Lytechinus pictus: one gene and its partner. The protein of the gene in region 2 binds, or shares a complex with, the protein of the main gene of each other region. Links are inferred from orthologs where the notes say so. Each region holds a gene or a part of one and is shown on either strand. Other genes may lie near its edges.

Region 1 (16,594 bases), on a different chromosome or scaffold from region 2:
GAAAATGTGTGAATAATTAAGCAGGATGATTTTGTCCTGCATTTAATGCAGTTTCTTTTTTATTATTAATGTACTTACCCTTTTTCTCAGCTTGTATGTAATATACGCATAGACAGCAAACATCAGAATTATCAGCAAAAAGAGTGGCCCATACCAGCTAAAACAGAAGACAAAATAACGATATCATAATGAGTGTTTTATCAAGAAATTTTAATATTTGCTTGATAGTTTCACCTTTCTAACAAGCATAACTGTGATTCTAAAAAATGTCATTGGGTTTTAATATAATTAACAAAAAAGTGACAAGTAATAGAAAACCAACCAGTAAATTGATAATCAAATAAATCAATTAATCATCAATGAAAAGATTAAATGACTACATAACCTACAAAACGATCATCTTTTTATATGTCAATATAGAATTGTGCAAACAATGATATTAAACCATCATTGATTAATCTTGGAATCTTATCAAGGGGAACTTTATAAATGTTGCAATCAATTGCATGTCAAATTTTAGGCACAAAATCAATCACAAGTCTGGCAATTAATTGCAAATAAACACTTGATTCTGAGTCTGCTTCTTTCAGCAAGTAGTACACTTCAATTTGGTATTGTTACAATTGATATATCAGTTGTAATTTGGCAACAGCAATTTGCAATTAATAGCAAATCTTTTCTTGCAAAACCCCTTTAGTCTGCATTGCTAAATTTCAGAAATTGGCCCACAAAATGCAACAAGGTTAACATGAGGGAGCGAGTTGGCTCTGTCGGTAAAGCGTCTGCCTTTTGAACCAAAGATCATGGGTTTCAAGTCCACCCCGTGCGGATGGCTGAAGCCTGTGTTGTGTGTAAACGTCCCTCCTCTGTTCAATAGATGCAGGCTATGTTACAGTGGAAAATACACCGTCCCTCGGATAGGACGTTAAATGGACGCCCCCCGTTAAGAACCCACTGCACTACTCGTATAAGAATAGGCGGAAACTCAGTGTAGTGGTCCACCTGTGCGTCATTAGTGATTCAATTCGCTTTTCACCTCCCAGGCACAGGTGACGCCAAACATATAATAATAACACTTGCACAAGGTGTGTAGTAAAAGAACCAGGGAAACTCACATGAAGAATCGCCATACTGGGTACTCTGCCGGTATCCAACTAGAAGGAAAAATGTTGAGAAGAAATAATTATAATTATACTAATACATAGTATTTGTATAGCACACTTTCCATCTTAATTAGAATCTCAGGGCACTTCAGAGCAAATTACAGAAAGAAAGAACTTACATTATAAGTTAAAATTATACAAGGATATCCTTCAATACATACATGTACACTGTAGATGGTTGAATGCAAAAAAAAAACCTCATTATTTATTCAGGTTGCACCTTTGAAGGTGACTTTTCTGGGTTTTCAAACTGGTCCTGCATGAGTCTGTTCCCCCATAAATTCTTTGAAACCAAAACTTGAAAAAGTTTAGAATTTGAGGATCTTATTTTGTGAATACTAGTAATGTAATGTGAAATTAATCATTAATTAGAGAATAAAGTGAGAGAAATGGTGGACGGAAAATTGTATGGGGGGCAATCTGGCATAATTTCTGGGCAGTTATATACATGTATGACATAATTTGTAACTTATCACCAAGCCCCAGCAGGTCCATAATTGTATGGGGGGCACTCTGACATAATTTCTGGGCAGTTATATACATGTATGACATAATTTGTAACTTACCACCAAGCTCCAGCTGGACCATAATGATTACCAATCAACGGTAGACAAGCCATGAGAAAGGAAAAACCCCAGGTCACTAGATGGTATATTCTGAATTTTGCACAGAAACAAAAATGTATTAATTTTGTGATTAATGGACATACAGTAGAAAATATAAATACACCCTATTTATGGTTTGTTTGTATCCCAGTATCACTTCCTTTATTGTATCTCAATATTCCTTTTAATTGCATTACACTTCCTACTTCATCTTTTTCATATTTTTTCCTCTTCCTCCTGTTCTTAATAATAATAATAATAATAATAATAATCCGCTTTTATATAGCGCTTAATACATCGGAACGACGTGTCTAAGCGCTTTTCAGATATATTATTACCCCGGTCATCGGATTCAATCAGTCGTTCCCGCACACAATGTATGCACATCCTCCACTCCCTGGGGAGTATTCCAGTCAGTCGCCGGCGAGGCCCACACAGTACTGGACAAGCTACAATGACTTTCACATCCTACTGGGTACACATTTAGTACTTAGGCAAAGTGTGGATGAACGTCTATAATAATCATACCAACATGCTTTAAAATGTAGCGTATATCACTGCTAAATGCGTCCCTATGCGCTTAATTGGATATTATTACCCTGGCTTTAGCCCGTGGCCTTTTACAGCGCGGTGGCATTTCAAGGAATAAATTCCTGCCAGGTACCCATTTACCACACCTACATGTAGGTCGAGTGCAGCTCAAAGTGGATAAAATTCTTGCCAAAGGAAATAACGCCATGCCTGGGAATCGAACCCACGACCCTCTGTTTCAAAGTCCGAAAACTAATCCACTGGGCCACAACGCTCAACAATGAAAGAAAGAAAGAAAGAATAGAGGATGATATAACACCTAGACAAAGGACGCCAGACCGCGGTGGGAATTGAACACACGACCCTCTGTTTATAAGGCGAGAGTCGGAACCACCACACCACGGCTCCTCCGTCCTTCTTGTCACTCCGCTTCCCTGTTTATTTTGTTTCTTTGTCCTTCTTCCTCTTTTTTTTCTTCTTTTCCAACTCTTTGATTCATTTTATTATTCAGCTCTGGGATGTTGCAAAACAGGTGTCTACATTGTACATGTATGGAGGGTCCTCCTCCTCTGCTTTCTCCTTCTTCTCCTCCTCCTCTTTCTTCTTCTTCTCCTCCTCCTCTTTCTTCTTCTTCTCCTCCTCCTTCTTCTCCTCTTTCTCCTCCTTCTTCTCCCCCTTCCTCTCCTCCTCTTTATTCTTTTTCTTCTTCTCCTTCTCTCCTCCTTCCCCTCCTCCTCCTCTACTGCTCCTCCCTCTTTTTGCCCCTTCTCCTCCTTCCCCTTTTCCTCCTTCTCCTCTACTCTCATTTCTACTATCTTATCATCGTCTATTCTTCCTTTCATGACTATTTTTCTTAATCTTCCACATTCCGCACATTATTCATATGCAGGAAAAACTACAATTCGCTTTGAAATTTGTTTGCAATACAGACTGCATTGTGTGGTAGAAAGGAGCATTTTAACAGGATTTAGAACAGGAAGAAGGAAATGTAATGACCATCGGTAAAAGACAAAATTGATACTTGTATGTGTCGATACTCAATACTCATACCATGATATTACAAGTACCTTAATGCATATCATATGTTAAAAAAGGGGTAAAAATAGTTTATTTTAGTTTCAAAACAGGGATTGCTTTCAAAACTAAAGAGTCTGGAAAGTTACTGTTTATAGTGATTTTAATATCAAAGTGTTTTATATGTATCCATTCATGGTGTAAAAGGCAGGGTAGGAATATTTTATATTATTATTACCAGCAAACATGTACGTGTAATTAGATAAAGCACAATTAGTTTAGGAATACAGTACTACATGAAGGTGTTACGACATTCAAAGCAAGGGGGGGGGGTGGGTTCCAAGTAACAAGAAATATTTATCCAATCCAAGGGGCTACATGCATTATACATGCTCTGACAAAAGTCAGAGCTTTTGATATATATCCCCAAATATTTTAGCATCAAAACAACACCCAAAGTCTTATAACAAACTCTGTAAAATTCATATTAATCATACATACAATGACTAGGGATTAGGGTTTACTCTGTGCATATAAAGATAAATGAAAGTAGTTGCAGTAAACACTGATTTCACGAGAAAGTGTGTTGAACAAAGCTTAATTGTCACTATATCATCAAGGATCTAGATCTGGTACAGTTACATAAACTGAACTTGTGACAAAATGTATACACCATAAATATCTGACAAACCCCAGTCTAAAAAATCAAAAACAAAGAAATTGAAAGTTTCCTTAATAAATTTGAACACTTGCAAATACATGTCTAACTTGCATAAACTGGGGAAATCACGAGCTTCATTACACCTTTAAACAACTCCTTTACAATGGAAAATCTGTACAAACATATTTTTCATAACCTTCGTAATAAAATTCCATCAGAGGTAGGCCCTTATAACAAATAATGAGACTACCAATATATCAAATTAATTGTCTATATATGCAAAATAACAAATAAACATAGAAATTTCAGCTTACTGCTACTCACATTTCTCTTCTCTCTGTGTTGATCATCCATATTGAAATCAAGTAAAGGTTAAAGGTTATACAGCTGACCCACATCAATGTCACCCAGTCTGAGAAAAGAAATTAGAAAAAAAAATGAAATTTGAAATATTCTGTAATCTTGACCCAACACAGTACCTGCTGAGCACTAATTTTCCCGCTGACAAAGAAAACGATATCAAAATCATATAAAAATATAATTTTATGGCAATTTTCATGGCAAGATCTTACCCCAAAATTGTGTCCACCATCCTTCAAAGTTACAGACTGCACTGTCTCCTCTTGGGCTTTCCTATAAAAGAGGAAATTACAAAAAGCAAGAAAAACATAATAAAACATGGCAAACTGATGCAAGTCTGACCCAAAGCAGCTGTATTCATTTTAGGAAACACAGAAGATAATAGTTACTGTATCTCATGTAATTAATTTTGCAATTTTTATGAATGAATGAAACTTCCTCTGAAATTAGACACAAGAATCCTACAGTAACATCTGCACAATTCCCATACTACACTCAACCAATCTGTATGTAGATGACTTTATATTAGTCTACAATTATATAACACATCACATAATTTGATATATCACTTACCAAAAACTTTGATATACTTCCAAAGAATGCTGCCACCGTGAGCCACAGGATTAGTCTTTGTACAAAGAGTTCATACTTCTTAAAGATCCAGATCACTGTTATCATGAAAACACTGAAGATATAAAGGACAAACAAACATTTAACAATCCCTTTCTTTCTTACATTCTAAATCCAAGCATACATGTAGGATGGGGGGTCGGGTGTCCGGACACTTTATATTTTTGAAGCCTTCTTTTTTGTCTTTGGATTACACTAAAAATATGAATTCAATACTTGTAATCATCTTCTATTTTGTTCTTTATAATATTTCCTAACATTTTGTACTAAAAATTTATGAAATTTCGCTTTCAAATTTTTCCAAATGACTTTCTAAAATTGATCGTCCGGACACACAACCTGTCCGGACACACAACCACTGGGTATACATTCATATTCAAGTGGAATTTATTTTATTTTCTTTCAGAGACAGTACCTACATGTATGCACCATTCTAAAAAGCTATGATTTCTCCATACATGTACATGTATGTGGCCACTACTATGTAACAGAATCATTGTTGTCAATTCAGTCAAATATACAAATATTATAAAAACAAAATTGCATTCATTCCTCAATTATTTGTTTTCTTTCTTCTTTCACATTTCATATATGGACAGCTCTCCAAATACATGATTTAAAAATCCATAAAATATAATTTTTTCAGAAAATATAAAATGATTTTTATCAATGCATTCATTACACCATCAGACACATTATTCCATAAAAGTACATACATGTACATTGTACAATGCTTTTATGAAATAAAAAAACTATTAAAAAGCATGGTTTGCACTATTAAATCAATCATGACATATGGGACAGCTGCCGCATGCAGCATGACACAATCAAAATTTTGATTAATAAGAAAATTTCACAAAGATGTTAAACCTTCTTCCATATGCTTTTTACATGTAGTTTTCTGCATTTATCAATATCAACATGATACTAGGGTAGACTACTTCCCCTTTAAGTGTCTTTAAGAATTAATCCACTGTACAATGTACATGTACAAGTAGATCTGTGTAGATGTCATAAACTTACCATCCAATTAAAGAGAGGGCAGCGAGAGCCTTTCGAATCCCATAAATAGTATTCTGGGTAGAAAAAAAAAAGAAATGTGAAAGTACTAGTTTATTTTGTGAAGAGGTTAACACCAGAGGTTGTGTAATCTGGGTTTTAAATTCCATTTTGGGCATCAATGTTCTGGAAATCCATTCATCTGCACGCTTTTCAAACATGCAACTACACGTTATGGAGTGATTACATACATGTACTTTTAATGACAGCTGACAATAAATCAGAACTTTATTTTACTTTTCTTTCAGTTACTCTTGAACTACAAACAATACACACATGTACTCTTCATAACCTAAATTTTGCATTTTTTTTCCTACATACATGTAGTTCTGCAATATTTTGTAAACCTCCTTGGAGCTTGCAATGAGTTCAGTATATAATGAAGAGTCATGTGACAATGCGTCACTCATATTCTTTTAAAAGACACCAATTAACTGACTTTACTGGAACATTTTACATAATCATAGTTATTTCCACATATTTTTTTTACAATTCTGGGGTTGATTGTGATCTAATTCCCATAAAATCACCATCTACAATGTACTATTCTACTTTCTCCTCCTTACTATACAATTCTCCTCTTCCTCTCCTTCTCCCTTTTTTTTCTCTCCTTCTCCCCTTATTTTCTTCTCTCCCTGTATTCCTTCCTCCTCATGCGACTTGTGAAATGATGTAGGGAGGGGATAATTTATTTTTTTTCTCCAAAAATTATACTCAAGACTGTATAAATTCTTTCATGAGGACATGTCTCAATATGCTTCATCCAAAAGGGAAAGGGGCTTTAAGGAGAAAAACATGAATTCTTAATAGGGCCTATTTTACAGTACAATAACTACAGTACAACAAATGAGAGAGTTGTCTTCCTTGCTGCCACTTTAAAATAAACATACAATGTAGATCTAGTTTACATTCTTTAAAACGTAAATCCCTTGTCCAATTTCCTTCAAACCTCTCTCCATTTTTCTTTCTCCTTCCACACATTACCGTAATTTTGTTACCTGAACAGCTGAAATCTGTCTGTTTGGAGAATTTTTTAAACATTTTTATACTTTCTGGTTTCTCCTCCTACATAGACACTAGCTACATGTATCTCACACACAGTGTGAGGGGCTGAGGGCCCTATTCCCATAGGTTCAATTGTACTATTCCCCTAAAAATGGGAATTCAGAATTTTTTATTCTTAATTTGTCACAAAATTGCACTGAGGTGGTGAATCAGACAAGATTCTGATCATTTTTAATATATTTTGATGAAAATGTTTGTATTAACAGTCAAAATCAATCTGAATTTTGGGGTTTAATACAATAGGTTCCTGCACTGGCTGCAGACATATCAGAGTGGAAACAATGACTTTGGTCTATGGAGGAGGAATAGTGAACCAAGACATATTCCACCACCCAACAAAACAGAGACTTCAAAATTTTCAGTCTATTGAATACCAAGGTCCAAGGTTAGATTCCCCTTAATCTAAAGTAACAATGTTGAAAAAGTATGGTTTCATTTCATTATAACGTTCATGTTTAAAATAGACTACAAAAAATTAATCCCAGGAAATCAAATGAAGAATAAAGCTTTCACCTCCTTCTCCCTACCTTTCAACTTGTTAATTTTACAAGCAACGTCAAGATCAATCTTTTAGGTTAATAAGGTTTATCGCGAATCAGCAAATATCAACAGAGGTCGCTGCACCGCAAAGCATGATGGGATCAAAAAGGGGGCAGAGACACAACCAAAAACAGCCCAATGATCACCACCGGTCACCTGGCATGATGAAAATTCTTGAAATTGTGAAAATAAGGATTACGTTACTCCCAGCCGCAAGTCGAAATGTGATTGTGAACAGTCGTCTGAATAGCAGCTAGCTTGCCCCCTTTTCAATCCCATGATGCATTGCAGTTCTGATTAGCAATATATGGTAACTAATCATAATTATATTGCACCTCGCTATATGACAGGTAAGACTAGTCTAACGCCGAGGACATTGATGCGGGAATTAAGCAACTAACTCGGAAACGACCTGGCGCAGATAATCTACCAGATTGAAGAGCGCCAACTTAACTCCAACACCAACCAACCAACCAATATACCTTGTTCTTATATTTGTTTTCAGTTGACTTCTTGGAGGTTGGAGTCGGACTCCTCATCATAAATTATATCATGCCATTCCCATTCATTTTCTTTTTTCATCTCATTCAATCATGTCATTTTACAATTACAATAAACGTTTTTCCCCATCTTATTTCTTGCCTCTTGTTTATTTTGCATGCTCATTTTGCTTCCACATCTGTTTCTTTAAAAAAAATGCAAACTGTTTTTTTTTTTTTAGATCTAGCCTAGCCTAAACCAAACGAACCCCTAAAAAGCCCCGGCCAAAGCCAAGGCAAAGCCGGGATTGCACGGGGGACCTCTGGCCAAATCAAATGTTAAGACTGCGACTACAGCTACACTCACACATTTTGTAACGTCACCATTAAACAACGGGCATTCTTCAAGCGGTGCGCTCGTAGGATCTGCCATCTTTGTTGAAAATATCACAAACAAATAACTTATAGATCCACTCCCTCGATTTTTAGCTCAACTTGAATGGAAAAATTCATGAAACAAACTCCGAAAGACGAAAATAATGTCTGACTCATTTTTCCACCGCACTCAAATTCTGATCCGATCCTGTGAATGAAAATTATGGTAAGCCACGCCCATATTCGTTACGTAATCAAGTCAAAGACTACATCAAGTTCAAGATGGCGTCGGAAATGGAAATCGAAGGGAGTTCATCCTCTTCACAGTCAGCTGTTATGGCTTCTGGAGGGACAGGAAGCGTGGCAGTTGCTCTTCATCCCCTGGTTGTCATGAATATTTCAGAACATTGGACTAGAATCCGTGCACAAGAAGGAAAACCTACCCAGGGTAAGACAGTTTTGTAATTGTATTTGTACTCTACATTGTCCCACGCATTGTATATCATGTGTGTTCACAAAGACGTGTGAGTGACTGTGAATGTGACAATGTCAATGATGCTGTGTCTGTGATTGTGTGAGTGTAACAAGGTTGGCTGAAGTTGGCTCCCGGCGCTAGTGTAGTTTCGCACCTCCCCGTTTAATGGTTTTCAAACATGTACAATCTCACCCTAAATAATTCACAACCTAAAATACTTGCATCTGAGCCTCCAAAGTCCAGTAGAAGTTGAATATTTGCCGTTTTGACACTTTTTTACAAAGTTTTACAAATTACACCTATTTCGGAAACACTCGGTCTCGGTTTAGAGCCTTGTTTTGAACTCTAGGTCTAGAGTTCAAAACAAGGCTCTACATTATTATTTCTTATTTCATCGCTAAATCTACGTGTATTCACATTTTTTACATTTCTTATTTCATTCAAACAAGCACACACACGCACACCCCACACACACCTTCACACAACAAACATCAACCACTCTGCACAACCACTACCGTAATACTTGGTGCAAGCTGAAAGAGGGGAAAAAATCTTTTTGAAGATACCATAGAAAAACTCGCTCTTCTTGCACTTCACTAGTTGGTACGTACTGTACGCGTACCGACTGCTTATGTGCAGCGCTGAGCTTCAAGCGACCGAGTGATTCCGAAATAGTTGTAAAACTTTGTAAAAAAAAGTGTCAAAACGGCAAATATTCAACTTCTACTGGACTTTGGAGGCTCAGATGCAAGTATTTTAGGTTGTGAATTATTTAGGGTGAGATTGTACATGTTTGAAAACCATTAAACGGGGAGGTGCAAAACTACACTAGCGCCTGGCTCCCCTGTCTGTGTCAAGATATAAACATGTGAATATGATATGTTTTTACTAATATTGAAATCTGACTTTTCTTCGAAAAATGCTACAAAATTAGACCAAACAAATAGTCAAAAGTTTTTTTTAATTTAAGAACGGAAAGAACTGCAAAAGTGCAAGAAGAATTTTAATTCTAAAAAGAAAAACTGGTTATTCCATCAAAGTCAAAAGTTAGTGATTAGTCACTGATTTTAAAGAACAGTTCTTATTGGTTCTTAGTAAGTAGTACTAGTATGAGCAAAATGCGCATGCAACGATGATCTTGATAGGCCATTTCATAATTGCTAGATAAACTTTGTGTTGCAGGGGCCCAGACCATTTGACTTTTTTTGTCATAGAAAGCCGTTATGCAATGTCATTGGGCCAACAGCTTGCCAGGACAATCAAAACACCTCACAGTTTCAATTGCCTTGCTGGTAATTGGCTCAACGATTTTGCAATGTATTCCATTTTATCATGTGCATTGTTGGTTCAGACAACAAGGACAAAGCTCTGGAATTCAACAATTCAATGTTCAATTCTTGTTGTTTTGTGCAGAATTGATGTCTTTTAGAAGGTGTTGCAAAAAAAATATTTGAAATCAATTGCAAAGTGACCGATAAATTCTACCTAAAATAAATCAATTTATAATTTGTTTATCAATGCAAGGAGCAGACCATCAATCAATTGCAAATTTGCAATGAAATGCATGACTTTCAAGTGACTTTGGGACCTGATATTGACTTGCAGATCCAGGATTTTCCAAAGGGGGGGGGGCACATTTTCCCGAGGAAAAATTTGACAAGCAAACAAAAAAGAAGGTTTTTAACCAAAAATTAGGCACATCTTGTCCACGAAAAAGTTTGACAAGGAAAAAAAAGTGTTCACTTTCAAAGGGGCGAGATTTGCCCCCCCCCCCCCCGGATCCGCCAGTGATTAGCCCTATATTTTGTGTTCTGCTTTCTTCTTTACACCATTCCTTCTGTATTTCCTTAATTTTGAGAGAAATTTGTCTTTCCTTCTTTAAACTTCCCATATTTATTTTGTACAGCATGTTAATAAATTTCATTATTTTTATTTCCGCAGTTCTTGGTGCTTTGATTGGTAAACAAGAAGGCAGAAACATAGAGGTCCTCAATTCATTTGAGCTTCTCTTTGACACCGTGGAGGGAGATATCATCATCGACAGGGAATACTACAACACAAAAGAAGAACAATGTAAGTGTGTAAACTTTGCACATATATGTGAAAGAATGAGTTGAAAATAATACATAAAATTAGGTGTTCAATTGGCCCATTGCAGAAATAAGCTAGATTCCAAAAGAAACTGATCAAACTATACAAGGGCACTGCACAAGTTCCACTCAGTCAAAATGAACAATATTTTTACCCAGGCTAGCTTTAATAATCTCTACTAAGCACATGTCAATAATTAAGAGATTGGTTCAGTCACAGAGAGGCTATAGCATTGGTTTCAGAATACAAAGTCACAAAATAGCAAAAGAAAGACCAATGAAAATGAGATAGGATAAAACGAACTTCCCAGTTTATCACACACGTCCATTACAGGCAGGTTAAGTGATTTGCTTGATCACAATTGAAGCTGTAGGAAGTTAAAAATCAAAATTTTTAGATGATTGGAACAATCACACAGCCACCCACAGATCCCCAGGGGGATGTGCCCTTAAGCGGGGGTTAATCAGAACATGGTGTGTGTGTGGCCTAGTGAGATACACACAGAGGGCAGGGCATGCGCTAATGTTTGTGGTGTGGAAATAGAAGTTTGAACAAGTTATTGCTTTTATGTAGGTGAGATTAAATTATTGTCCTTTTTAGTTAACAATTAATGATGTTTGATAAATTGCTTCTAGGAAACATGATGGAAGTCCTTGTTTCTATTTTGTTATTTCAGTCAAGCAGGTTTTTAAAGATCTTGAGTTTCTTGGTTGGTACACCACTGGAGGATCACCGGATGAATCTGATATCAAAGTTCACAAACAGGTAATATTAACTTATTGGGAGTTGCAAGAATCTTGCTATCGATTCCAAGTCAATCATTGATCTTCAAATCAATCACAAGTATTTTAATTAATTGCAAATTTGCAACGGATTGCTAGTCTGCTTCTTGCATCAACAAGTATACATGTAACTTGATTTGCTTTAGTTGAAATTGGTCTATCATTTGTGAATGTGCGACTGAAATCTGCTCTTGATTGCAACAATTTTCTTGCAACATCATCTTGTTCTATTTCTCAGATAGTCTAATACCACACAGGCTAAGCCCAATTGGTTTGATTGCTGTTTGGTCCATTCTACACTTGGTCTAATGCCACTAAGTCTAATTCTCAATTATTCTATCTAATTTTCAATTATTCTAATGCTCATACTGGTCTAATCTCTCTTCGTCTTCTATTTATTTTTCACAAAGGTTAATAGACTAATTGGTGCAGACCAAGTGGATATTGGACGAAACAGAAAAAGCCCAACTGCCCTTGATGATAAGATTTTCCGTGTCACTGACAAGTTTTCTATGAGACCTACAGGGGATTTTTTTTTAATTGGACAAATCCAATCTGGCTATTCTCTTGGATGAGAAAATTTGTAACCTTGAGTCATATAGAGGAGTTGTCCTTAAAAGTTGTTCAGTTACAGAGCTGACAGAGCTGAAGGAGAACTGATAAGTTCTCCTTTAGTCAACTAGTACCCTTTTTACACAGGATTTTCTTAGCCCCGGACTATCGCTAACCCCGTACTATCCTTAACCCCGTACTATTTTTTTTCCTTTTTACACATGCCAAATTGTTATTGCTAACCCCGGATAAGGAATGCTTGCTTTTCACACACGAAACTCGCTAACCCCGGACTAGTGGTTTTTGTTGATCATTCGTAGTACAAGTACTTCACTCGTACCTTTTTACACACGCTACAATTTCCTTAACCCCGTACTATAGGTGGGGCCAAATTGCCATTTAGCCCCACCTATAGTACGGGGTTAAGCTTAGCCCACTTTCGTTTTACACTAGCGATCTTAACCCCGTACTATCGCTCTTAGCACCGCAATTGCTGGGATAACCCTGCTTTTTTGCAGGGCCAAATAATCCCGTACTAAAGGTGGGGTTAGCCCACTTTGCAAAAATGCTGTGTAAAAAGAAAGTGGGCTAAGCTTAACCCCGTACTATAGGTGGGGCTAAATGGCAATTTAGCCCCACCTATAGTACGGGGTTAAGGAAATTTTAGCGTGTGTAAAAAGGGTATAGGGGAGCTGTCCTTAAGATTTGTTCTGATATAGGGACAGATCCTATCCGGCAGTTCCCGGGCTGAAAGACAGTATATACTGCCCCATGGATAACTTTTCCTTGAGGCCTCCAGAGGATTTGTCTTGAGGAGTTGGTCTGAAGAGTTCTGGTACAGATATTACAGTATTGCATGTGTAATGTTCTCATATTACAGCCTGTACTTGGACTATGTTCATGCATACAGACATTAATAATCCTGTAATGCAAATTTTTAGTATAAATTCAAAATGGTTTTTATATTTTCATTCTCGTTCTAAACAGATTTGTGAAATCAATGAGAGCCCCATCTTCTTGAAGCTGAATCCATTATCAAGACAGACTGATGTGAGTATTACTGCAGTTCTTGGGCCTGTAACACAAAGCTTAGCAATCTTTGTAGAACAGCTTTTTATGATTGAATTCATTGACTACAATGTACAATTAATGGGGAATTCAAGCATATGATCAATCGCAAACCTTTGTGTCATTGGACCTAGATGATAACATTAACAGTAATTCAAATAAGCCTCAAATTCAATATGTATTAATAATACATTGCACTTACAAAATTATAATGCAATGAAATTTTGAAAAAATAATGTATTGTAATTATAATGTAATAAAATAAAAATATGATGTATTATAATTTGAATTTATTTAGCATGTTAAATACTAGTAATCATAGGCTCACAATTAGAAAGAGTGTATGTAAGCATTTTAAAGACTAGTTTTAACAGTGTCATTGCTTTGAATATTGTTGCAATGAATTGTAATGATTGCCATACTATATCATGATTTTAATTTAAAAAATGAAGGTTACTAATGATGAGTTCATAATAGTGACATGACCAGGATTTATCCATATGACAACTAGTTATAAAGAATTTCAAGTAGTCTGAATATTTGTGATTTACAACTGTCACATTTCAGGGAGAAGATGCTGTTAAGTACACTAGTGATTATGATATCTATCTACAGTAACTGGTGATCGCAGATATACATGGATATCTTAAATTTTATTCATTACTTTTTAACAATTTAACAGCTTCCCGTCCACATGTTTGAATCAGTGATTGATCTGATCAACGGCATAGCAACCATGCTATTTGTGGAGCTGCATTTTACCCTAGCAACAGAAGAGGCTGAAAGAATAGGTGTTGATCATGTTGCTAGGGTAACCAACAGTGAAACTATGGAAAGCTCTGTGGGTAAGTGGTATGATCATATTTACCTTCTTCTTATGATAATCATCATAACAGCTATGGAGCTGACTGAAATACAAATGAAAAATATATATATTTATATAGTTTAGAGTATATAAAGTGAATGCCAAAAATTAAAAACTTCAATCCATCACTTAATCACTGTGCATTACCAGAGCTGCCAGTTAGTGGGATTTTATCCATTTAAGAAGGATTTTCAAGGGGATATTTACACTAAATAGGATATTGCCCCTATAAATGGGGTTTTTAAACTTGTATAGCATTTATGAGGCGCTTATCTAGTAGCCTATTCGATGGCGCACTATATATATTACCCCAGATATAGTTCAAGCTGCTAAATGCGCTCCATTCATTCAAGGAATTAATCCTGCCGGGTACTCATTCACCTCCTGTGGGTTGACTGAAGCAGAATGTGGGTAAATTTCTTTCTGAAAGTAACACCCCATGGCTGAGATTCGAAATCACATCCCTCTGATTGAAAGGCGAGAGTCATAACCACTAGACCTCGACGCCCCCAGTATAACATCATCATATCTTACAGCCGTTATTGACTGTTATTTGTTTTATATGTTGCTAGTTGTCAAGCATCTTCATGACTCTTTTATACTGTTTTTCATCTAGTTGCGGAGCACCTGATAGCACAACACAACGCCGTGAAGATGCTGCACAGTCGCGTAAAGCTGATCTTGGATTACGTGAAAGCTGTCCAGTCTGGTGAGGTGCCCATGAACCATGAGATTCTCCGGGATGCCAACAGTCTCTGCCACAGGCTACCGGTCCTGCATCTAGAAAAGTTTGATACAGAATTCTACAATGTAAGTTACCGTATCCTTATTACTTGAAAACATTGAAATTTGGCATGAATTTCTTCCATTTTGAGCTGCCCTTGACCCAGGCGTAGTAAATGGTTACATGTATCTAGTAGGAAATTCATTCCTTGAAAGGATTATCTTCCAGGATGGCATTTTTTGTAAACGTCTTGTTCATGTTTGCAAGTTAAATGTTAACTGGAAAAGAAAGTAGTGGCAGCTAACAATTATTTCATGAGAAAGTCTTTTAATTCAAGGTTAATTGGCACCATATTATCATTGATCTAGATCTGGTACATTCATGTTAACTTATTTTTCTGATATCATGAAATCTTAGCTGGAAACAGATCATTCTGATGACCTTTAACAGAAAAGCGTATGCGGGGCAGTGTATTAATTTCGCTTCGAACAAACCCCTGACATTTGATGGAATTTGTGTTTATTGTGCTCATTACTCAGAGCCATTTCGCACATATTTTTATTAATACATACAAGCACTGGGATGGTCATTTTATTGGATTCTGATCAAATTCATTTTTAGATTGTTACCACAATTAATAATAATAATAATAGCCAATTTTTATATAGCGCTTTTCCCAGAATGGCTCAAAGCGCGTTATAGCTTATTATTACCCGGTCATTGGATTCATTTCAATCCCGCACGAAAAGTGCACAATTTCCACTCCCTGGGGAGCATTCCTTGCATTCATCGCAGCCTCATTTGGCGCTGGCAAATTCAAACATACAATATCTTTCGCATCCTACCGGGTACCCATTTAGCACCTGGGTCGAGAGTGGCAAAGTGTGGATTAACGCCTTGCCAAAGGACGCTAGACCGCGGTGGGATTCGAACACACGACCCTCTGTTTACAAGGCGAGAGTCAGAACCACTACACCACGGCTCTTCCACTGGCATTTATCTTAAGGCATTGTCAAAATGTGACTTTATATCTCTTTGTTATTTGGATAATGAAGAATGTCGCTAATTACTTTTGTTTGTTTTTGTTTTTTACAGCAATGCAATGATGTAACTCTTATGGCCTATCTAGGGGCAATTACTAAAGGCTGCAACACAATAAATCAGGTAAGATTGAAGGAATGTTCCCTGATTGCAAATGAGTTACTAAAGATTGCATGTTTGAGAATAATCTAGAAAAGAAATCATTAAATCACTCAGTGAGATTTCTAAACCTGTCATCTACTGTTTGCTATTTCAATACTCAAACTTCCAAGCACAAGTCAAACTTTACCAAGAATGATTTGTTGGAACCGAGTTGTTTGTCTTTTCTCTGATCATGTCGATGTCGTGGAGTAGCAAGGTCCTGAGTCTCATTTCAAAAATGATTTGTTATAGTAACAAGCACACAATTTCTATAACAGATAATACTGTCAGCCAATCCAATCGAAGGATTTCAGTAGCTTTTAACTGATATTGTAAGTTTGTTATTATAAACAAGTTTTATGAAACAGGCCCC
Region 2 (16,342 bases):
ACAGAGCGTGATTAACGTGCAATTCAACTTCTGTGATTGGCTAATGCTTAGCCCCACTTTCCTTAGCCCTGTTTCGTTTTCACACTGCATCTCTTAGCACCACAATAAGCCGACTAACCCTGCTTTTTTGCAGGGCCAGATAGTACCATACTATTTACCATGCTAGCCCACTTTGCTAAAACGTAGTGTGAAAACGAAGTGGGCTAAGCTTAACCCCGGGAAATTGGTGGGGCTAAGACCCCCTTAGCCCCACCAATTTCCCGGGGTTAAGAAAAAAAAGTGCAGTGTGAAAAGCATATAATAGGTTACATTTCTTTTTTACATCCTTAAATATACCCGTAAATATCAGAAGTCCTTCCATTGTGTTCAGAGATTCTATTGCACTGTGAATATTATTGGGGGGCTAATAGACCGTAGCCTCTTATATTTTTTTTTTCAGATAGGTATGCTTCATTTCACCTTTACGCACTTGGATGATCCAATGATTCCTGATAAATAATATTTGTGTTTTTAGCGTACCTATGCCACAACATTTTAATATTCCATGGTCTTAATTCAAACAACCTGTGAGAGTTCAATCCTATGGGTTTATGTGAGAACGTGGTTGTCTATATTCTAATTTTACATTGCACAGGATGTACACTGGTCACTGACACTGTCATACATGTTAAACTTGTGGAGGAAGATTGAGCTTGGATGAAAGCTAGACCTGGAAACTTGGCTGCAGATCTCTGCATTTGTCTAGTACATCTGGTAATAAGAAGGTGAAAAGGATCATACAGTCAGAGATGGGCATTGGAATTATTCTTTTACCTCAGTAACGTTTGGCATCTCTAGGAGTTCTCCGAAGACATAGACCCCTGGGGCCTCAACACACTGCTTGATAAGGGCCACCATGGCTGCTCCCTTGGCTGTCTTGGCTAGAAGGAGATACTGCTCCAAGGAACAAGGACTGTTTAGAGTTGTCTTGTTGTTCATGTCTGAGCAAGCTTGTAGAATCACGACCAGAAATCTTACTTCAATTGCCTATAAAGTGAATGAAGTAAGTTCATGTAATAGGTTTAGTAATGTAACTTAAATTGGATTATTGCTATTCTATTCTAAATTCCACTATTTTTTTTCTTTTTATACAGAGCAACTGACATTCTGGACAATAGTTATAATTGAATTTGGCTATTAATGAGATTTAAAACATGATCTACTTCACAAATCTGATCCATTACACAGTTTTGCAGTAACAATAGCTGAAAAATCAAAACACTCATGGTTTTAATTTGCTTTGATCGGCCAAAAGATAGCACCCCGCGGGGGGTCACTTTTTCACATGGCCTGTTACGCACCCGCGTCCAGAAAAAACGTTGAAAAGGGTCCCATTTCAGGCACTCGGGCAGCGTCAACGTTACGGACGCGAGCATCGCGTAACGTTGGGGAACTACAATAAGAAACAAGATGGCGGCGTAAACATCGGGCAAGTCTCTTCCGTCTTTTCACAATATTTTTTCATTTTTTTGATGAATTCTTGTTTAAAAATAACAACGAGAGCATAGAAATGTCGGAAATGAAGTTTTATCCCATGTACATGATTTAGAGCTAGATCTTTTAGAAGGAAAGTAGAAATCTCGGGGGTGAAAGTTTCAGGTTTTGGGGTCCTTCGTGTAGGTGAATAGGAAGGACTCCCTGGCTTCATTGAGTAAGCCTACGTTAGTAAATGATTTTTACTCTCAAGAAGCCGCCTGGCTAGGCTACACAAGACCAGAAGATGACCCGGCTTTGGCCTTTGCACTATTGCAGCTGCACACTCGGCTCACGGTTCGTACCAGGGGCCGCGGAAGCGGGGGGGGCTGGGGGGGCTTCAGCCCCGCCACTTTTTTCCAAAACCGTGTACAAAAACGTAAAAATGACCATATGATTGTGATTTTTAGCATGGTCAGCCCCCCCACTTTTACTTGAGTTTGAAAACCGTTCCGCGGCCCCACTCCTAGTACCAATGAGGTCCAACATTACATGTATGGACCTCATAGGCGACATCAGTAGTATTTTTGGTTAGAAATCTCTGAGAACAGGATATTTATACATTATATCACAAGTACAAGCTATATTCCTTTCTCTTATTTAAATTATAATTTTATAGTGTAAATGCATCGTTAGCAACAACAAAAAATGAAAGAAATGAAGGGGAACTTACATTTTCACGGCTTTTTCCTGATTTTCTGGGCAGCTGCTCTTCTCTTCTGACTCGCGATCGAAGCTGATATGAAGATCACGTGATTTGCGTTCTCGTCAGCTGATCGGTTGGTTATTCTTTTCGTCAGACGTTAATAATATATATTTTATAATGCTAGCATTCATCGCTAATTTAGGTGAAAGAGATTGAAGTTAAACAGCGCCAGGTCGGAATCATAATTATTTTGGAAGAGTGTATTTATACACTCGATCTCATACCTGACGTAGACGGCGCTATTCAACAAATGCACAATCTTCAATATAAAAAATAAAACAGAAAGAACGCCTTGAACACAGGCCAAAATGCCTAACGATTTCTCCGCGGCATTAACAACTATCGTAAAGGGCGCTCCATTTATCAATAAAGATGGATGCTAAGCTGTCTATGGTGACAAAATTTGCCGCAAATATTTACGAAGAATTGTGAGAAATGGTCTGAAAATGCAACAAAAGAACCGGTGAGTACCGATTAAACATTATTAAAGTTGTAAATAGATTATACATACCTTGTAGATTTAGTTTTTAAGGTGATATTAGTGCTTAGTTCTAAGCTAGGGAGGCCCAAACGCGCGTGAGTGGAGTCCCAGTTTATTAGCACGGGTAAGTATTGGGGTGTCGCCTAGAGTGCCGCGGCCCCACTCCTAGTACCAATGAGGTCCAAACATTACATGTATGGACCTCATAGGCGACATCTGTAGTATTTTGTGTCAGAAATCTTTGTGAAGATGATTATTTGTGTATTATAACACAAGTACGAGCTATCGTACTGTCTATTCATTAAATTTTTGTTTAAGAAAGTTAAAGCATTGTTAGCAATAAAAAAAAATTGAAAGAAATGAAGGGGAACTTACATTTTGACGACTTTTTCCAGATTTTATTGCCAGTTACTCTTCACTTCTGACTCGCGATCGAAGCTGATATGCAGATCACGTGATACGCGTTCTCGTCAGCTGATCGGTTGGTTATTCTTTTCGCCAGACGTTGATAATTATATATTTCATAATACTAGCATTCATCGCAAATTTAGGTGAAAGAGATTGAATTTAAACAGCGCAAGCTTTAATTTTCTCAAAAATAACATTTAATTGATTGCACAAGTTTCGCCTTGGAACAAGTAGGATCATTTGGTCCCATGTTTGTGTAACTACGGGGGGGGGGGTGGGGGTGGGGTGTCCCTACCACTATACACCCACTAGCCAGCAATTATCGTTTTTTTCTCTTTTTTTTTTACCAAAATACCTCCCCAAAAAAAAAAAAAAAAAAAAAAAAAAAAAAAAAATAGGGTTAAAGAGAAAGAGAATTGAGGAACACAATATGCTTTATTTTTTCCTCTTTTACTGTTTAACGAGACTTGTAATCAAATATTAAATGGGGCTTAATTAGAACAGCCTTTTTTAAGTCAATTAATAAAAAATATTCCTCCTCGGGATTTGAGCTTTCATGAAATATGAATCTTTTTCATGACTACCGAAAGCGCTAAAAATGTCCAAATTTTTAATTGGTATATAAAGCTTTAGCTCATGCGTTGCGCCCGTCTTATTTTAATGTTATACAATTTTATGCTTTTAATGAATTTCTAATTCTCAGATCTTGTCGCAATCCGATTGGTAACTATAATGAATGATTATTATGTTTCATGAATTGTTCAAAATGTGTCTCTCTATCAGTTTTGAATATTAAAAAAAATGTCAGCTCATGCTTTTTGCTCACAATATTTTGATTAGTAAGAATTTCTTCTCTTGTATATGCGAGTTTGAGTAAATAACTAGAGAGAGAGGGGGGGGGGGTCCCTCACCTACTTGTCCTCGCTTATTCCCAATTTTTTTATATATCATACTCGTGTTCAGAGTGTTTCAAAGTCTTTTCTGATTTTTTAAACACTTTTTATTGTCTCGGAGCTTCCCTCTATTTCTTTTAACTATGATGTAGCCCTTTTTACTTGTTTCAATTCTTTTATGTCTCATTTCATTGAAAACATAATTATTAAACAGACTGACTTTATTACAAAATTTTGATATTATTTTGTCTTGTTTGTTTGGCTTTCTTTTTTTCTTCTTATCCTTCTTCTTACTTTTTCCATTTCCTTATTTTCTCTTTTATTTCATTTCATGAGGCATCCGCCAACTTATATACAACAACAACAAACATATTTATTTGGTGGTGTGCCCCTCTAAAAAGGGAGGAAAATAGGAAGGAAAAAAAGAAGAAGGGAAGGGGAAAAAAAAAGAAAAAAAAAGAAAGATGATGATGATGAAAATTATCTTGGTGATGATGATGGTGGTGGTGATGGTGGCGGTGATGATGATGATGATGATGATGATGATGATGATGATAATGATGGTGGTAGTGGTGATTATGATGAGAATGAAGTTGGTGATGATGGTGATGATGAAGACTAGATGTAATTTTGTTATTTTGTCTTTGAAAAAATTAAGTAGTGCATAGGTGAATTTATTTAAAGTTAATTATGAAAATAGCAGAAAAAATAATTTGAAAAATTGGTATGCGTTCAGGAAAAATCCATCCCCCACCAAAAAATAATTAAAGGTGAGATTTTTTAAATAATTATTTGTGACGGCGTAGGCCTTTGCGAGCAGCTATATCGGATATAATTATGGTAAAAAGTAAATGAAATGTCAAGAAATACGTGATAATGACTTTTATTGTACATTCAGTATGTCAATAGATAACTTCATACTCTCTCCAAAAAGAAAAAAGTGGGTCATTACGGTCCATTAAAAATGGGAAATTTTTGCATTTTGTATTACATAGAATATTGAGCAACTGTTCGTTTATGACGTCACAAATCAAGCATTCGAAATTCTACTAACTCCATTTTTTTTTAATAACACCTTCACCTATGTTTTGAAATTATTTTTCTTTGGCCTATATTTTCACAATCTTTTTATCAAGGTGAAATTCCCCTTTACAAAACAGTATCCGCATGATCAGTGTGTAGCGGTAAATTATTCACCTGATAACTATAGACCTATCTATAATTCATGCGGCTATGTTTAATAATATATTGCTGTGAATAGAATGAATGTCATTAAAAACATAATCTCACTGATCACTAATGCCAGCTCGACGCGCGAACTGAAAAAATATATTTTCTGCCCCGATAATTTGATAACCCTAACCTAACCCAATTTCTAAGTATTTTTATCATAAACAGGATAACTATAGACAATTAATTGAAAACTTGATATTCTTTTGCGAAAATGGATATGAAGGACAACTTTTTAATAAAGAACACAGTTTTAGAGCGTGATTTATATATACAACCGCTTAATCCTGTCACTGTCGGTATGACATGAAGCAGTTGGAACTTTCTGATTCCATCAGCTTAATAATTTTTGCAACAGGCGCCAGTCCAACAAACAGACAGACATTTGCCCAAACAGACAACATCTCAACCTCTGCTCATTTCTTTTTGCACGGACACATAAAATCTCGACCTACCCATCACTTTTCTCACTATTTTCTCCTCCCTTTTATTTTCCATTAATTTTTCTTTCGTTCACTTTTTTTTCTGTCCTCTTTTTCCTTCTATTTTTTTTTCTCGTCTCACCGCTTTTCCTCATCCCCCAGCCCCCGACGCCCACGCAGATTCGCAAACAATATCAAGTGTACTGTTAGGCAAGGGCGGAAATCTCTCCCTAAAGGTAGCCGGGACCAGGGGCTGGAAAATTTGACAAGAAAAAAACAAACAAACAAAAACAAAAAAGAAGGTTTATCACCCCAAAAAGAAGGTCATCTTGACCAAAAGAAATTTGATAAGCAAACAAGCAAAAAAAAAGGGCACCCCAAAAGTAAGATCGTCTCTTCCAAAATACATATTTTATTTCGATTTTGAATGAAAAGACCCAAAATAGTAGGGGGATGACATTTCATAATGTGTCCCCCTACTATTCTAGGTGAGGGGGACATGTCCCCCTGGAATTTGCGCCCCTGTGGGTGGGGGGTGTTGCGCCTCCCTTTCGGAATCATTATGGAAGAGTGTAAATACTCGCTGTGATTTCGATCTCATACCTATAAAAAAAAATAGAACAGCTACGCCTTGAACACAGGCCAAAATGCCTAACGATTTCTCCGCGGCATTAACAACTATCGTAAAGGGCGCTCCATTTATCAATAAAGATGGATGTTAAGCTGTCTATGGCGACAAAATTTGCCGCAGATATTTACGAAGAATTGTGAGAAATGGTCTGAAAATGCAACAAAAGAACCGGTGAGTACCGATTAAACATTATCAATTTATTTAATAGAACATATTTCATGACTACAATGTAACAATTTCTAGATAATATTGCTTAGTTCTAAGCTAGGGCGGCCCAAATGCGCGTGAGTGGAGTCCCAGTTTATTAGCACGGGTAAGTATTGGGGTGTCGCCTAGAGTGCCGCGGCCCCAGCGTACGGTCCGAATTAAGAGGCGATTTCGCTCAGACAAAGATTTGAGATATACCCCACGTCCCAATCAGCTGTGCGGAGAAGAGCAGGACGTCGGTCGGACTTGCTTCGTAATTGGTGGGCCTAGTAAGTAATGGCCCCCCAAAAAAAATTCTTTAAAAAAACTGGCCGAATTTACCACAAAAATATACGCGTATGGGACTGTACTAAACGATAGGTTTATGTCGTTCGTGTTTTACAAGCAAAACATGACTCTAGAGTATGAGAATTACATTTAAAATAATAAATCGATCTTTATTCACCTTAAAGAATTAAGAATGTTTTTTTTTATTTATTTACTTTGGAAACTAAAACGCAAACAATGACCAACTTACAGTGACAGAATCCGCTACACTAGGCACAGCTGCACTTCTTATCTTAATGGATGCACGCATGCGCATCTGAACCGTGCATATATTTTGCTTGGTGATCTATCACTAGTATCATCGGATGGCCAGATTTGGCTACATCTCGTATACCACTTGAAAGTTCGTCCAACTTCACATAAGTACGGTACTAGTAGTCAGTAATTAAACCAAAACATGTGGCCTCCTCTAGCTCCGCGCTTCTCATCATCCTAGCCTAATATTTTTTCCCCTCAATTTGTCCACACTCTTCCTGATCCCGCCCCTAATTCCTGCCCCCCCCCTTCTCTTCTTCCTCCTTCCCAGGCCTATGGGGCTCCTTGCCTGATCCTCCTCCATTATCTACGGCCTCCACCCCCCCCCCCTTGTTACCCCCTCTCCTCCATCGTTTCCTCCTTTAATTACCTCTCTCGCTTCCTATGCCCTCCACCCTCTCGATAGCTTTACTTTCTGAGCTTCCTACATCAGCTAGTCTACTACTAGAAATCCAACCCAAATAAAAACTTGCTGTAAGAGGAAAAAGAAAAAACAGACAAGTTGATATAGGTGAAGCAAATGGATCCTGTTACTCTATAAGATCACATACCCATTCAAGTCATTGAAATCTTTCTCAAAGTAGGATATACCCCAGCCCTTGATCGATTAAAACAATAGTATTTTCCTCTGTTTTTGCTTGTCCTCCTTTTCTTCCTTTTCTTTATTCATATCCTCTTTTTCTTCTATTTCTCCTTTCCTCAATTTCATTCTCCTTTCTTCACCTCTCTTCATTTCTTCCATTTCATTCCACTCCTCATCATGCACTCTCCATTTCATTCTCTTCTACTTCTCCACTTTCATATCTTTTCATTCCTTTCCTCCTCTCCATTCTCGACTTCTCACATTTCTTTACTTCTTCCCTTTTCTCGATCCTTTCTACTAATCTTCTTCTAAGCTTCTCCTACTATTTCCTTTCCTCCCACATCCTTTTTCTTCCATTTCTCTTTTTCCACCCCTCCCCTCTTTCCTCAGTCACCCCCCCCCCCCTTCTCTACGATAATTAAAAGTCAGTCTAGTAACAAGTTCAAACACAAATTGCACATTCGATATTTAATATATTTCATAATTTACAATGATTATAAATGATGGCACATTTCACGGCACATTTTCAGCGCAAATAAGACAGAATGCTAATTTGGTCTACAAAACACCAATATAATATATCCATATAAAGACAATTGAATACACAATGACATTTTAAAATGCCTTATTCAAAGTACTGTAATTAGAGGGGGCATTTTCAAAAAAAAAATTCTGAATTTAATAATTCTCGGAGGGAATTACAGAATAGAATTCATATGGAAAATAAAGTCTTCATGTAGTTCAACCTCCTATGAATCACAAAATCATAGGGTTATCGTGACAGGTCGGTAATCGCATAACTCGACCATTCGAGAAAGGGACCGCCTAAATTCCCACCACATGGGGTCCAGTTTACCCGCCCATTTGAGAAAAGGCCCCCCCCCCTAAATTCCTGACAGGTCGGGACCAATTTACCCGATGTTTTGTGAAAATTATAGCCAAATTCTCAAATGGTCAGGTAAACTGGACCCAACGTTTTTGGAATTAAGGTCAGGATTCGCTCGACCCAACGCGATAACCCATTGTGATGTCACAAGCTGAAAATGATCAAGTCAAAGCAATTTTTCTGGCCACATTTATACACACAGCATGTGTGTTATTCACTTCTTCAAAGTGAAATGTTGCCCTTATTCAAACAGGTTAATTTGGTCACAAGAGATAAGATTTGGGAAGACGTACTTGTAATTCCAAAGGAACACAAAGGGGAAAAATACGACAGATAATGAAACTTATTACTTTTATTATTTCAAATGTAGGGAGATCTGAAAATGATGACCTATTAAAGAAAGAAACAATGGTATTTATATATTTCCATATCCATATTTTTCTCATTCGATATATAAATCTGATATAGAAACGCTCTAAAAATTCGTTTTGGCCAATTGATCATGGGCCCAGCAGCCACTGCGCAGCGCTAGATGAACATAGCCGAAAGAGTAAATGCCCCTCAAATCAAAATTGTGTAGTCTGTCAAACAATGTATTTTGAATGAAGATTCTTGGTCAGTGTTCATACACTTATAGACTAAGTTCTGTGTAAATGTCTGGAAAAATGTCAAACTTCAGCTGAAATTCGGAAATACAAACACATCCAGGGGGGCAGGGGCCTAATTCATATAGTTACAACTTTTACCATTATTTTTTCAATGAAGGAATGGTAACATGGCTCAGAAGCCAATCACATTCAAGGTTTCCATGGTAGTTACAATGACAATGTTACAGTCAGTCCGCAAGCCCTGAAAAAGTAGCTTCTTTTATCCAAGTGATATTCATGACAAGAGGGTTTTTGCATAGTTAATGAGCTTGGTGCGAACCAAAACACCTCTTTTTATTCGGCCATTGCTGCTCTAAATATTGACAAAATTTCATGTTTTTGGTATCTTTGTAAAGAAGAAGAATCTTTCTTTTAGGTCATGTGTTTGGATTTTTAAAAGAATGTTGTAATATAGGGGAAACTTTTGATCTAAAACATGAAATAATGGTTTTCATGCAACAAAAGTTGTTGTTTTCACACTTAATTTCTGTTTAGGCACAAATGATTTTTAAATCATGATAAAGCTGAAGATCTAAGCTTTAATATGATATAATTTTTATAAGAAGATGTATGTTAGATGGGTCAGCAGCCAGCTTTTCATAGGCCAAGTACATTTTGCAGCTCAAAAACAAGAATACTGCGCTCTGATTGGTCATAGACCACACACCCACGCAAATTCCAATGTTCCCCACACTGGGCCTCTGCAAGGTCACACTCACCATGTGGTAATCTCTTCAAATTACTCGCGCCTGTTTGTTTTGAAAACAATATTCAGCCAATCAGAACTCTGGATTTTATGTTACTCAGAAATTTCAGAAATCTCGTCTTGCATCTTGATGGAAATAACTGGCTGCTGACCCATCTAAAAGATGCCACATATCACGAGTGACATTGTAAGAAAGTACAGAGTTTGAGCTTTCTGATGATATAAATAATGTTGGTGCCTAAAACACAAAATGTTGCACAATTTGCAAGTGAAAACAGATGAAGAAAATTCTGTTTGATGCATCTTTTCAGGTGAAAAATTCACTTATTTATCAAAATATTTCATTCAAAAGAAATGACCAATATAAAAGGGTAACATTTACTCTTGCCCATGGTACAAAAATAATCAATATTACTCAAGGAGAAAGTGGTTAAATTCTTTGAGAAAGAAAGTCTCACAATTCACGAGATTTTGCAGGGACATGAATTCAGCCACGAGAGGACTTGGATAAATCTTGCTCATTTGCTCATTAACACAGGGGCTTGCGGACTGACTGTTACCAGAGATGTAAGTAATATGAATTTGGCCCCAGATCACTGGAAATAAGAAATGATAAATATATTTAATGATGATGGTTTCTTGTATAGCGCCGGTATCCACCTCAGCTGGGCGCTCATGGCGCTTGCTCAAAAATAGGAAATATCTCACAAATTTAGCTAAAGAATATTGAACATCAAAAGATGCACCTCAATATTGATAGACATCAAAGCTTTACACTCCTTTCTTGCTCTCAAGCCAATAATATAATTTCATAATTGATAAACTTTGCAGCTATTTACATCCATATTTACATAAAGTCTATAAAGAAATACTTGCACAATACATTCCAATTTTTCATCTTACTTCTCAAAACAGCAATCAGGATAAGATTACATTTATATTGGACATAATACTGGTATTGCTATGTGTATCAAACAGATTAATCATCTGTGACCTATCTACACATTGGCTGGAAGTTTACTTAGTAAATGTAATATTAATGCATCATTCTAAAGCAGCTCGCTCATGTTAATACACCTATATGTTCCTATTTCATTTAAACTGCATCTAGCTCGTTATTAAACTAAAAATGACACCGAGGTTGTCAATACCACTCCCTATCATGAATGCATTATATGAGATCTCTTTATATATGAAAATAGCATATGGCCATCCATAATTCTGAAGTACACACATTTATGACCAATGTCAACAAAACAGTGTGTTATCAACCCCCTCTCCCCCCCCCCCACACACACACACACGAGGGTAGGAAATAATTCCGGGGGGGGGGGGGGGGGGCTACGTTTATATTCACATTGGGGCGAATACTGGATTCCGGGGGTGCCATTTCATTCATTTTAAGGGCTGTATATTTTGCACAAGTTATTATGCCGTGAATGCAACTATCATAATTCTGCTGTATTGTTAGAACAATACTGTCTGTGGCAGATCTTGGGGCGACTCAAGAAAAGACGGTTGAACCCAAATGAAAGCATTCCATTTGGGAGTTTTGGGGATTAAATAGGCTGGGATGAGGGTGAAATCGCCTGTCATCCTTCCTACGCTACCCCACCCCAATAATGCCATTTCCAATATGAGTATTTGAGACAAGGAAGAGATGACCAAACCACAATGATTTTATATTAATGAACACCATGAGAGCCATGAGGAAGAATCTTGATGTTCCGAATCAATGCTCCCTCTTCTCCTCGATCTCCTGTTCGATCCTCTGTTTGAACCTCGACTGAACACGTCATCTCCGCTCAGCTCGGACTCACTCGACTCGTCATCAGAATCGTCCGCCGGTATCGTGAGGGCAGGGTCAAAGGTCGCAGAGATGGCACCTGCTGAACTGTAAGATAAACACAGTAGGAAAGAAATTTAATGAAATTTGATAGCAATTATTCAATGAATTAGGTTTTTGTAAGCATTCAAAATGATAACCATTGAGAATCTAAATATACACAGTATGTCAGCTACATGAACATATAATATCACAGGCTTTTTAGTATGTACAGCGTAAATTATTGGTGGACTGGCAGTACTATTTTTCCAGTACAACCGAGGATTAATAATTCCCTCTATTCTTTCGAAATAAAGGCCTGGTATATTTATTTTATATCCTACATTTAATAAGTTAGAACAGATCTTGATAATCTTGTTCTTGTACACGTAGTTTCATCTTTTTTAAATTCTGAACCAAAATATGGATAACGCGCTGCGCTGACTGACCTACTTTTCATGAAGCTACGCACTCAGCGGAACACGCATTTGTGCCTGTGCCCGAGAGATTGCGCGATCTGTGACGTAAATCAAGGAAGAGTGCACTTTTCCCAAATTGAAAATGAAACGCCCACTGAAGAGAATTTACGAAATAGTAAATTCTCTTCAGTGGGCATTTCATATTCAACATCATCGCAAAATAGTGAGAATATGTTTGGTCACATGATGCTATTTACACCAATCAGCATACAGGAATTAATTTATGTAGGATATAATGTGTGTTATACCGAGTTTCATTGAGCCTTGGTGCCCTGCGGGAACCAGGTGCATGTCTCACATTAAAAAGTATATTTTACTATTGAGGCCTTTCTTATTGGCATCGGATGCCCCCTCAAGTGAGCTCTGCCTTTCCTTTTAGGTGCCTTTTTTTTCAAAAATAACCTAGCCCCTTTGAATTCTTCATTCGAGTCCTTAAAGAGGAATGAAACCTTTGGAACAATTAGGCTTGTGTCGAAACAGAAAAATCATAGAATAAGAACAAAGAAAGTTTGAGAAAAATCGGACAAATAATGAGAAAGTTATGAGCATTTGAATATTGCAATCATTAATGCTATGGAGATCCTCCCATTGGCAATGCGACAAGGATGTGTGATGTCACATGTAAACAACTTTCCCTTTGATGGACTATAAAATACCCCCAAAATGTGTCTTTTTGCTTTTTCTTATGGTGATACAAACTATTTATCCATGATGTATTCTTTAAAAATCTGTATCACATGCCCTCCTATAGAAAGAACACATGATCTACTGATAGATGTGATAAAAGAGGCAGTTTAAGTGAAATATAAACTTAAGTAATGGGGAGAGTTTTTCACAAGTGACATCACACATCTTTGTCGCATTGCCAATATGAGGATCTCCATAGCATTAGTGATCACAATATTCAAATGCTCATAACTTTTTCATTATTTGTCCGATTTTTCAAAAACTTTTGTTGGTCTGTTTCTTTGATTTTTCTGTTTTCACACAAGCTATCTTGTTCCAAAGGTTTCATTCTCCTTTAACTGTTCAGAGTATGTAGTGGAGCGGTTATGGGACAAAAAATGGCCAAGATGCTCGGATCTGGCAGAAAGTGTGAAATTTGGCATACAGGGGTATTTTTGGGCGCTGATTTCAAAAATTGCCGGCCCCAAGCGATTTGACCATCGGGTCGGCCGCCATTTTGAAATTCAAAATGGCCGCCATGAAAAATCATTAAATGTCATTTTCTTGAGTTTTACATGGCATGTGACACTGAAATTTGGCATATATGGGTATTTTGAGGCACTGATTTCAAATATTGCCGGCCCCCAGCAATTTGACCATTTGGCCGGCGGCAAAATGTCCGCCATCTTGAAATCCAAGATGGCCGCCATGATATAATATTGCAATAATTTTCTCGAGTTTTATATGAACTGCGGTACTGAAATTTGGCATACAGGGGTATTTTTGGGCGCTGATTTCAAAAATTGCCGGCCCCAAGCGATTTGACCATCGGGTCGGCCGCCATTTTGAAATCCAAAATGGCCGCCATGAAAAATCATTAAATGTCATTTTCTTGAGTTTTACATGGCATGTGACACTGAAATTTGGCATATATGGGTATTTTGAGGCACTGATTTCAAATATTGCCGGCCCCCAGCAATTCGACCATTTGGCCGGCGGCAAAATGTCCGCCATCTTGAAATCCAAGATGGCCGCCATGATATAATATTGCAATCATTTTATCGAGTTTTATATGAACTGCGGTACTGAAATTTGGCATATAGGCTTAATTTGGGGTGCTGATTTCAAAAATTGCCGGCCCCAAGCGATTTGACCATTGGGTCGGCCGATATTTTGAAATTCAAGATGGCCGCCATGAAAAATCATTGAATGTTATTTTCTTGAGTTTTTCATGTCATGTGACACTGAAATTTGGCATAAAGGGGTATTTTGAGGCACTGATTTCAAATATTGCCAGCCCCCAGCAATTCGACCATTTGGTCAGAGGCAAAATGGCAGCCATCTTGAAATCCAAGATGGCTGCCATAAGAAAATTCATTAAAAAAATAAGTATCATAATTATAACGTAGTTATCATTTTGAAATTTTGCATTTTTGGATAACCATCGTGTGTTCGACAATCTGACAATGGGAGCATGTTCGCCTCTCGATCGGGAGATCGGGAGTTCAAGCTCCGACAGCATCAGACCAAAAGATGTTAAAAGAGGGGAGTTCCTTCTAACCTGTTTGGCGGTCAACGAATTAAAGGGAAGTTCAACCTGACAAAAAGTTTATTGAAACGATAACATAATAAATAATTAAAAAATATTGAAGGTTTGAGGAAATTCCATCAAATATTTAAAAAACTATTGGAATTTCATTTGGTCTATTTGTGACGTCAGATGCAAGCAGTTCCCCCATGTTTCTTATAGTACAAAATCAATGAAATGTAGCCTCCTAAAAAAATGAAAATGTTTTTATTGAAGCCTTGGTATATCAACAAACAAATGATTTCACACCTGCTCCAGAAAGATAAAAAATACCCATGATGAACCATTTATGCATTTTATATCACACAACATAATGGGGCAGCTGCTCGTACAGTAGCCTATATGACGTCACAAATCAAAAACTTAAAATTCTAATATCTTTGATGGATCCACCAATATCATTTTTATATCATATTTTCTTTTGTTTTTACAACAAACTTTTTTCCGGGGTGAACTCCCCTTTTTAAGGGATAGAGCAACGTCTGATGTGGCGCTGCTAAATTGCTGCCGGGCTCACGATCTACAGGGTATGGGCAAAATAAATTTTCGGAGCATTTCTGTTACTGAATTCTATTTTGAACAATAAAATATGTATTATTATCATCCATCATTAATATTAGTTTCATCATCATCATAATACCACTATAACCATAGTACTTCAAGTCTGGAGCAGTTTTCTTCATGTTGATTTGTAATAAAATATTGCAATTATTGGAGCAATATTTTCAAACCAGCAGGCAAAAAACTTGCCTGTATGTCTAAAATGCAGTGCCTCAAATTAATTAAAACAAAGAAAATGATTTTGATGAATTTTCATGACAGTAGATCCTCTCTAGATTTCAAGATGGTGGCCATTTTGCAGCATATCTATTGGACAGATTACTGGGGGCATTTTCAATATCCCTAGATGCCAAACTTTAAAATAATACGTTATGTGATACTAGATAAAGTGATTTTTTCAATGATCTTTTTCATGGCAGCCATCTTGGATTTCAAGATGGCTGACATTTTGCTTCTGACTCGGGATCAGATCACTGAGGGCCAGCAATATTTTAAATAAGCACCCCACACTCTGTCGATATATCAAAGTGCAATACTGCAGATCATATGAAGAAATAATTTACAGCCTCTCAACAGAAAATGATTGTTCCGGATGGTTATTATTCAACCAAAGCCACTTCAAATGTGTAACTGCAGAAGAAGCTAGCTGGTTTGTGTATGTATGGTGCTTCATACTTAAGTAACATCTATATCAGCAATTAAGGGTGCCAAAGTATTGTAATCCTTGCAACGGACAAAGATGTGCTTGTGTTGGATTTGTTTTTAGTGCCTATACAATGGGTTTTACTCACCATTATAATGTTCTACATCATTCAAACTTGGTAATCATATTGGAATTCAAAATAGCATCTATTTATTATGTTCTTTTCATTGATGAAGGATGCAAAGATCAAGTTTTTCTCCAAATCTAAAGTGTTACAGGCCATACGTAAGACTTGAGCAAATTATCTTTCATGGCGGCCATCTTGGATTTTAAGATGGCGGCCGTTTTGTCACTGACCTGGAGGTCAAATTGCTGGGGGCCGGCAATATTTGACATCAGTGCCTCAAAATACCCCTGTATGCCAAATTTCAGTGTCACATATCATGTAAAACTCAAGAAAATGTCATTTAATGAGTTTTCATGGTGGCCATCTTGGATTTCAAAATGGCGGCCATTTTGCCGCCGACCAAAGTGTCAAATTGCTGGGAGCCGGCAAATATTTGAAATCAGTGCCTAAAAATACCCCTATATGCCAAATTTCAGTGTCACACGTCATGTAAAACTCAAGAAAATGACATTAATGATTTCTCATGGCGGCCATCTTGGATTTCAAAATGGCGGCCGAC

What was found.
Region 1: COP9 signalosome complex subunit 7b-like (region 2) and COP9 signalosome complex subunit 6-like share a complex: the UniProt entries of both Drosophila melanogaster proteins name them as parts of the CSN complex. The link is inferred for Lytechinus pictus from reciprocal best matches to the Drosophila melanogaster genes CSN7 and CSN6.

Annotation. Positions count from the first base shown.
Region 1 is NC_087260.1:11,640,179-11,656,772, forward strand, and holds the start of COP9 signalosome complex subunit 6-like, read left to right. Parts: upstream 1-8,448; 5' UTR 8,449-8,474; coding exon of another isoform or gene 8,475-8,540; 5' UTR 8,541-8,764; coding exon 8,765-8,930; intron 8,931-10,898; coding exon 10,899-11,030; intron 11,031-11,724; coding exon 11,725-11,813; intron 11,814-13,369; coding exon 13,370-13,432; intron 13,433-14,132; coding exon 14,133-14,295; intron 14,296-14,931; coding exon 14,932-15,125; intron 15,126-16,134; coding exon 16,135-16,203; intron 16,204-16,594. Other genes in the region: cyclic AMP receptor-like protein A, read right to left, coding at 79-157, 1,116-1,154, 1,730-1,819, 4,299-4,386, 4,547-4,607, 4,908-5,019, 5,988-6,040, 8,475-8,540. UniProt on the Drosophila melanogaster protein: Component of the COP9 signalosome complex (CSN), a complex involved in various cellular and developmental processes.
Region 2 is NC_087258.1:2,856,235-2,872,576, reverse strand, and holds the start of COP9 signalosome complex subunit 7b-like, read right to left. Parts: upstream 7,293-16,342; 5' UTR 7,074-7,292; coding exon 7,008-7,073; intron 1,027-7,007; coding exon 814-1,026; intron 1-813. Other genes in the region: uncharacterized protein LOC129276772, read right to left, coding at 11,575-11,788. UniProt on the Drosophila melanogaster protein: Component of the COP9 signalosome complex (CSN), a complex involved in various cellular and developmental processes.